Linked DNA regions of Drosophila melanogaster. The gene in region 1 interacts genetically with each later gene. Each region holds a gene or a part of one and is shown on either strand. Other genes may lie near its edges. The genes, in order: Fadd and PGRP-LE.

Evidence for each region.
Region 2: of Fadd (region 1) and PGRP-LE, changing one suppresses a phenotype caused by changing the other (phenotypic suppression), as found in Drosophila melanogaster (one study listed by BioGRID).

The regions. Positions count from the first base shown.
Region 1 is NT_033777.3:22,032,305-22,036,191, forward strand, and holds Fadd (Fas-associated death domain), read left to right. Parts: upstream 1-2,150; 5' UTR 2,151-2,258; coding exon 2,259-2,978; 3' UTR 2,979-3,313; downstream 3,314-3,887. Other genes in the region: CG6015 (uncharacterized protein), read right to left, coding at 1-455, 516-994, 1,060-1,777; CG45099 (uncharacterized protein), read right to left, coding at 1,778-1,882; pit (pitchoune), read left to right, coding at 3,531-3,711, 3,772-3,887.
Region 2 is NC_004354.4:15,800,538-15,805,725, reverse strand, and holds PGRP-LE (peptidoglycan recognition protein LE), read left to right. Parts: upstream 1-1,845; 5' UTR 1,846-2,399; intron 2,400-2,635; 5' UTR 2,636-3,018; coding exon 3,019-3,217; intron 3,218-3,286; coding exon 3,287-3,586; intron 3,587-3,649; coding exon 3,650-3,763; intron 3,764-3,978; coding exon 3,979-4,043; intron 4,044-4,115; coding exon 4,116-4,475; 3' UTR 4,476-4,573; downstream 4,574-5,188. Other genes in the region: CG15602 (uncharacterized protein), read right to left, coding at 4,830-5,087, 5,153-5,188. UniProt on the Drosophila melanogaster protein: Peptidoglycan-recognition protein that plays a key role in innate immunity by binding to murein peptidoglycans (PGN) of Gram-negative bacteria and activating the imd/Relish pathway. Has no activity against on Gram-positive bacteria.

The DNA.
Region 1 (3,887 bases):
ATGCAGACGCCGTCGTGCGCCTGCCACTTCTTGTACATCTTCGTCGTCTTCCAGTCCCAAATATAACATTTGCCATCGCCATCGCCCGACACCAGATAGCTCATGTCCGGCGAAAAGTCCAGCTGGCAGGCGTAGCCAGAGACCATGTGACCGGTGAAGGTCTTTTTGCGGTTCATCTTGAAGCGATTGAGGGCGGAGAAGATGACGATCTTGTTGTCTAACGACTGGCAGGCCATCCATTTGCCATTGGGCGCCAATGTGACCGCCGGCATGGAATGCATAGTGGGGTCGGCAATGTACTTCATGTCCACAGGAATGTCCCACTCCCATATGCGCATCGATTTGTCGTCCGAGGTGGTCACAAACCGTCGGTTGTCGTCCACAAAGGTGATGGTGCTCACAGATCCCAAGTGCCGGTCGTATTCCTGTACAATATCACCGCTGCGAGTGTCCCACTGCGAATTGATAGGAAAACAATTGTAACATGAGCATCTACTTTTGTAAATTTTACTTACACAAATGATCTTCTTGTCGGAGGTGCCGGCAACGAACAAATGTTGCTTGCTATTATCCGGATGGAATTTCACACAGAAAGGCATTTTACGCGTTGTGAATCGGGACACTACATCGCCCGTTTCGGCATCCCACAACTTTATGTAGCGATCATACGAGGCAGACAGGAAGTTGGTACCCCTGTTGTTCCACGCAATATCCTTGATGGCCTGCCGGTGACCGGAGAAGGTGCGTATGCAGCGTCGCTCGCCGTAAACCTCCCACAGTTTGACGCGACAGTCCATCGATCCGGAGAGCAGAAGATGAGCGGTCTTGGGGAACCAGCGGATGGAGGAGATGCCCTTGTTGTGGCCCGACCAGGTGTGTATGTGCGCCTTGGGCAGAAAGCATTTGGTCGGTGGTGCATTCGATCGTAGATTCACGCCCAGATCATGAGGAGCATGCAAATAAGAGCGGCCCTGATAGTCGTACGCATCCTTGACTGTGGAGCAAAAAAGGAAAAGATTATTAACGATATATATTCGGTGGCTATTGGATTAAACTCACTGTGCAGCGTCGACTTCTCCTCGAGCGGCTTATCCTCGGGAATGCGTCCGCGCTTATGTCGCTTAGACAGCAGCTCGTCCAGTTCGGCGCGCTCCTGTTCATTTGGCTTTGCCACCGACACCTCGTTTTCGAACTTGCCCCAGGGACCCAGAAAGCCCTCAATGTCCTCGGGATTATCATTTTTCTCCTGCTTGCGCAGTTTCTTTGCCTTGGGCGGCTCAAATACCGTCTTGCCATTGTCATCGTACGCAGACTGCAGGTCACCCACAAAAGACTGGCCGTCCGCCTGATCGTCTACGCTGGGGTCCAATGCGTAGCCGTAGGTGTGAAAGGTGCGTCGCTGGTTCTCAAATTCGAAGGCATTGATGTGGGCCTTCTCTACGTAGCCGGCTAGGGTGTTCCGCGGAGCGCGCTGCTGCATGGTGAGGTCCGGATGCTCCGGACCTTTTACCGGAGCATACATCTCCTCATAGCGCGGATTGTAGGTTACCTCCTTGAGCGTGGGATCCAGAGTTCGGGGCACGGCCGATGCTCCAAGGGGAACCACCGTTGGCGCCGCACAAACAGCAATGGACTTGGATAGCGAGTGTGTCTTGTCCACGGGCAGCAGGTGATCCGGAATGGGAGCGGAGGGCTCTGAATTCGTGGTGGCTGTGGCGGCGTCCGCATGGTCCGATTCTTCATCCGAGGAACTGGCGTATGACTGAAGGCCCAACATTTAGAGGCTGCGGACGAACTCTGTGTACTTGTTAACGAAATGCTGAAGGTAAATCAAGACCAGAGTGTAGAGGAGGAATACGAAAACGTTAATGGATATTTCCATTCGTCTACACGTTTGCGTTTATCATTAGTTGCTTCAGTAAAAGTAACAAAAACATAAATATATATCTATCAAAACTAGGGATGGTGCGTGCCATCTGTTATCGATGTTATCGAATGGCTATGTAACGGTCTCACTAATAGATCCCAAACATGCAAGGTGGTGCAAGTTTAAAGCTTATTTTAAATTTTTTAAGTTGTATGGAAATAGTATTTGATATTTTTTTGCTCATTTTGCTCAAACACCTATTCAGTGCTGATCGATAACAGGTAAGGAAATGTTTGGCCATACGGTCATACTACATCAGGGAGTGAAGTTGCGTTGATACATTTTGGGAACTTAAGACCGCTGAAAATACCGTCTCTGTAAATTAGTCACAATGACTGCAGGCAGGCACTGGAGCTACGACAGCCTCAAACAAATCGCCATTGATGGATGCACCGAGAACGTGGAGCAGTTGAAACTAATTTTTGTCGAAGAGATTGGTTCGCGACGCAGATCGGATTGCATACGAACCATCGAGGATTTAATTGACTGCCTGGAACGAGCGGACGAACTATCGGAGTACAATGTGGAGCCACTGCGCCGGATATCAGGCAATATGCCACAGCTCATCGAGGCTCTGAGCGCCTACACAAAGCCGGAAAACATTCTTGGACATCCGGTTAATCTGTACCAGGAACTCCGATTGGCCGAGGAACTTCGTCAGCAGCTCCGTATTGCTCCAGCTTCCCAGAATGCTCAGCCATCAGTTTCGGAATTAGCTGCCGCTGTGCCTCCAACAGCAATCCAAAACTATGCCACCCCAGCTGCTTTTACGGATCACAAACGAACGATGGTCTTTAAGAAAATATCCGAGGAACTGGGTCGCTATTGGCGACGACTGGGCCGATCGGCGGGCATTGGCGAGGGCCAAATGGACACAATCGAGGAGCGCTACCCGCACGACTTGAAGTCCCAGATTCTGCGACTGCTGCAGCTCATCGAAGAGGATGATTGCCACGATCCCAAGCACTTTCTGCTTCGTCTGTGTCGCGCCCTGGGCGATTGTGGTCGCAATGATCTGCGCAAGAGGGTGGAGCAGATAATGTCGCACTAGAACGCATTCACTTATATGCACTTTATATGCATTTTGTTACGATACTAGTAATTAATGTGCTGGAGAGCGACAAAGATGTGCCTTTATTGTAATTATTCACATGTTATTCCAAGGTTGGACAGAGCATAAAAATCGCACACTAAATTAATATGTGTCAACGCGGAATTGTACGATCTTATAAGAAAATGTGATTGACGTATTCCATTCAAAATGGGAATTCACATTTCCTTATCATAAGATAGTCTACAAAAAATATTGTTAACTCGTAATACACAAGTCACATAGTTGAAGATAGCAATGTACAATGGATATAAAATACGTTTTGCAAACGCTTTTGCTTCTCTTATCCTCAAAAGACGGTTGAAAATTTGTTTACAAATAGGGTCACACCTTTTGCATTGAACTATCGAATTGGCAATTATCGATAGGCACAGCTGGCTGAATATCGTTTGCTTCGGGGTGAATGGTTAGCAACACGTGCGCGCAATATTTTATTTGAGAATTCTGTTTTTAACCATTAAACTCTATTAAAAAGCATACATAGTTAGCAATATGTCTATTCGGGAGAAGCTGCTGATGAAGAAGATCGTTAAGCGGGAGAAGATGAAGAAGGAGCTCTCGCAGAAGAAGGGAAACAAGAACGCCCAAAAGCAGGAGCCACCCAAACAAAATGGCAATAAACCCAGTAAAAAACCGGAGAAACTCAGTAAAAAGCATGTGGCCAAGGATGAGGGTACGATTAAAAACGTGTGTGCCTAATAAATATATGTAAGATTCACTTTTCGACCCGCAGATGACGACTTAGAGGAGGATTTCCAGGAGGCGCCGCTGCCCAAGAAGAAGCAACAAAAACAGCCTCCAAAAAAGCAACAAATTCAGGTGGCCAACTCGGATTCGGAATCAGATGAC
Region 2 (5,188 bases), on another chromosome or scaffold:
GGTATTTACACAGTGGTAATGGGAGTCGAGTTTACACTTGGTCGATGTTTACCGAATCTAGTCGCTCGATTCGATTGTTCGACGGAATGGGAATTGGCCACCATATCATTGATTTAAAGGCGTTAGTTAAGGTTGTTCTGATATCAGACGGATTCCTTAATAAATGCACTGCAAAAAAAAAAGCAACGTAATTATAATCGTTAAGGAGGGGGAACAATGGCTTGGGTATTATTTGTTTATTTGTATTTATACGTATTTTTTTTTTTTTTGCTGGCCCAACTCGCTTCAGTAGTTTTCCCGAAGACGATGTGCGGGTGTTTTTTGTGATTATTAATTTATTTATTTGTTTTTTTTTTGAATGGGGTGCAACAGTTGTGCTGCAATCAGCACAAATAAATCTTTGTGGGTGATTCATAAGCTGTCAAATAAACGCATACAGCACTGCACAGCACAGCAAAAAAAATGTTGGAAAAAAAATAAAAATAAAAACACGATGTAGAACAAAATATTGGTATTGGGCAGAATGGCCGAAAAGCGCTCCGAATTACCTGCGCATTAACAATAACGGCGCGAATCGGATAGGGATACTATCCAATCCAACACTATCCAATCCCAATCCACTCCACGCTCTCTATATGTAAACTTAGCACACACGAACGCAAATTTACACTGGCATACATGAAATGCAATTATTATTATTATTATTATTATTATTATTTTTTTGTTTCCACGGTCTGTTTCAGATCCGGTTGCAGCTTATGCGAAGCTAATTAAACTAAAACTATAACTACAACTTTGTTTACACAACACACCGCTGGCCGAATGCAACGTCGAATTGTGCTAAAGCGAACCCATTATTTAAGATTTCATTAAATCCGCGACGTTTTTTCCTCCAGGGCACATCATCTGATGTTGATGGTTTTTCTCAAACTTTGCGCTTATTTTTACCGGCACACGGCGCAATCTGTTTGGCTTTGGACTGGGTACGAACTTGTACTTGTACGGTACACCGATAGAACAACATATCCGACGGATAGCGACGAACAAACGGAACGGGATGGGTTTGGCGGATGGCGGATGGTGGATGCGGATGTGGATGGAAATTCGGTACGAGAAGAAAAAACCGCAATTCGATTATATCTTATGGCTGGCGTTTGTTTTAATTTTAACTAATGTTAACTAGCTCTCGCAATCGAAATAACACAGACAGACGCAAGCGATGGCATAAACAGAACTACCAATAAGAAATTATCTCAAAATGTATTTCAGGCAAAAAGTAAAACAGTAAAAGCTCTTCTCATTGAGCATTCGCATTCGCACTCGGCTGCTTCCATCGAAAAATTTTTCGAAACTGAAAGCAGAAATATATTTTTCTGGCCATTCCAATTCGACTCGAAACTCTCTCGCTCTCTTCCTCGCTCTCTTTGTGCGCGGTTCCAATCGGAACCAATTGTGGAACCTAAGAGAGCGTTAATTCTAAGATTTTACATAAAGAGAATCCGTTTTTCTCTTTCATTTTCATACATTTTTATGTTTTCTCTTCCCCTAAATTATGTTAAAAGCTTTAATACCAAAGCTTCACTTTATTTGACAGCTGATTCAGCTGAAGGTGATTGCCGCCCTTTTTTGAACTCCACTAAAAAATGCCTATTTTGGTATATTTGATTAGGTTATCTGTTGATTACAATATATTTAAGCTGTTTGTCCAATTAGCGAAGATATTTAAAAAGTTTATTTCACTTTTTGATATGCTTTTAATTTAACTTTTAAATTAGACTGTGTTCCTGTTCGGAATACGGTCACACCGGAACAAAAACATAAACAGACCTTTGAATGCATTCCACTGTGCAGTCAAAAGTAATAAATATAAGCTCCTCAGTTTTATACGTCAAACTATCGCTTAAGCAATGTATAAAATTAGTTTATAAGTTGGTTACATTTTAGTTTATTCTCTTTTAATGGCTCTAAGTGACTATTAAATCCGTGTTGTGGTAGCTCTTTGGTTGGCTTGAATAGCCAGCAGTAACTAAATATAAAAATAAAGAAAGTAATTGAGAGACTTGGAGGGAAGAACAGCGCATACGCGAGAGTGGTCGAGTGAATGTTTACAGCGCATGAATTAGGTTTTGGTGGTTTATCTGAGTACCTCTAGCCCCATGACTAATGCTTAAAGATGGGCTGACTTGGGTGTAATCACCTGCCTCTACAGGTTTATTATCAAACACGGTGCAGTGTTGCAGTTAACTGCTTAGCATTAAAGCCCAATATAGGCAAGAGTGTTGGAAAGCTCATCTTTTCCAGCACTGGGTGCATTGTACCTCCAGTCGATTTGATTGGTGAACCAAACTGGTTATATTTTAGCCAGTGATAAGGGGTTTTCGGATCTGGACAAAGCATTTGTATGTTTATATATTTATATATATTATATTTATTTATTTATATATATTTATTTACTTATTTATTTATTTATATATATTTATATATTTTCATAGAACAATATATATATGTATACAGAAATATATGTCCAAAACGGTTAAAGAGGGATAATTTAAACTATTTTTTTTTGTTCGTATTTAAATTTTTGTAAGCTTTATATGGTTAATCAAATACTTATCGAAATCTGAAACTCAACTAGTGGATGCGGCCCACTGTATGTACGATACCGCTAAGCTCCCTTCAAAGGCAGTGGAATTGTTCTAAATGCGAACATCGATAATACTTATCGATATCTAGACTGATCCTCGATATCCATGACAATAATTAATACACATGACTAAATATGCAAAAAAAAAGCCCCAAGTGGACTGATATGCAAAAAAGCATTTCACCACGGCACCTGCGCATATAATGGTGGATAGCCTGTGGAACGTCCTTATCTTATCGTGTAAGGTGGACACGACACGAACACTAATCAGAGAATAGAGCAGTTCTAACTCACAATATTGATAAACAAAGTAAGGGCCAGCCGAGAGATACACGCGCATTTATTGGCAGCAAACAGAAGCCAAAACTACGGACATGTCCGAATCGGGAATCAAAAAGTTGAGCCAGGAGCGGACTCGCGAATGGTTGGCTAGTCAGGAGGACGAGGAACTGGAGTCCATTGCAGAGTCCTCGGTTGTGGACAGCTTGGACTACGATTATACCGAGGAAGAGGAGGATGCCGACCAAAATACCAGTGAAGAAATCAGCACTATGACACTAGGCACTCAAATCGGTGCGTAGTACTCAAGATCAAGTTTCTATATTCAATTTATAACACTTTCAATATATCCCCACCTTAAAGCTACCAAAAAGCATTCGATCATCAGCGACACCATAAGGGACCTTATGAACTCGATCAACAGCATTCAGACTTTGGGCAACGTTAATATAAGCAACTCCACGAACGTCCATATCGGCAATGTTACCAATATTAATGGAAATATACAAATCATAGCCGATGGCCTTACTCAAAACCGAAGAGATCGGCGGCATGTTTCACCACCGAGAGATAACGCTCCCAAAACTCCGACACATTTCGAAGACGACTATCAGGACGAGTCGGAGGAGAGGGTGCGCTCGGATGTGTTCATCAGGCGCCAGAGTAAGCTATCATTCACCAGGGGATGCATACACGTTAACCATAGGATACCGATTTCACTTACAGAATTCAAAATACCCAAGGAGCTGTCCGCCATCATTCCGCGCTCTTCGTGGCTAGCACAGAAGCCCATGGACGAGCCACTGCCCTTGCAACTGCCTGTTAAATATGTGGTTATCTGTGAGTATTCAAGTTTGCTGCACGTTTTAACCATTTTTTTGCCAACTGATTATAAATCAAGTTGTCTGTAAAAGTATGACGCAATAATTAAAACAATTTATACTATTTGATCTGACCATCATGCTTAGCACTCACTAACCTAAGATTATATCGTATTATAACTCTTTTCGAATATATTTAAAACCTTGATTAACAAATATTGTTTTACCACGCAGTACACACAGCTACAGAGAGTTCAGAAAAGCGGGCGATCAACGTAAGACTTATCCGTGACATGCAGGTAAGTATTTCGTTAGCGAAATTAAATCATATATGCTCCGAACTATATAATAATTATGTATATATATTTCAGTGCTTCCACATTGAGTCGCGGGGATGGAATGACATTGCGTACAACTTCCTGGTCGGCTGCGATGGCAACATCTACGAGGGACGCGGATGGAAAACGGTGGGCGCCCACACTCTGGGTTACAACAGGATCTCGCTGGGGATCAGTTTCATTGGATGCTTCATGAAAGAACTCCCGACGGCAGACGCCTTGAATATGTGCCGCAATCTGTTGGCCCGCGGCGTTGAGGATGGTCACATATCCACCGACTATAGATTAATTTGTCACTGCCAGTGCAATTCGACGGAGAGTCCTGGTCGGCGATTGTACGAGGAGATACAGACATGGCCCCACTTTTACAATATCGAGGAGGAGGAACAATGAGGGACAAAAGAAGAGCACCATTTCACATACTTAGACTTAAATGCACCCGAGTTACGTTTATAATGTTGAACATTAAATCACCTGTTTATAAATTTTCCAGCTACTGGCAGTTTCGTTAAGTTACTTTATATTTTGGTATAGTTTTTGCAGCGCTGAAAGGTGGAAAAACCACAAGATGTTTCGGAACCAACATCGCCTACCTGTTTTAATTCACAACTGAAAGAGAAGCAACAATTATACTGCACAAATATGAGCGAGCTAGCACCACATAAATACAGACAATAGTAATGCATTTGCTGAAAACAATCTATAATTAAACAAAAATTTGCGTACAGTCAAGTAAACAATTAACAATTAGAAGTGATTTTCTTTAAGCTTTGGCGGAGCCGAATACTTTTCCTTAACGTGAGCACGGTACTCCTCGTCATCATCGTGGCACTCCTTATAGCATAGAGTGCAAAAGAGTTCCCCACCACATCCGTGGCATCGGAAGTCGGCGTCTTCGTTACAAATATTGCACCAGGGCAATTCTTCGGTGTTGCCGGGCGACTCAGTGTTAATTGGACTAATTTCACTCTCGGAAGGTTCTGGTAAGCGCGATTCTGCTACATACTGAATGGGAATACGAAAGTGATGATTTGGCTTAAAAAAAATAATGCTACTATATAAATGCGAACCTTTTTCAATATGTTCTGTAGAAGTGTCTCGTCATC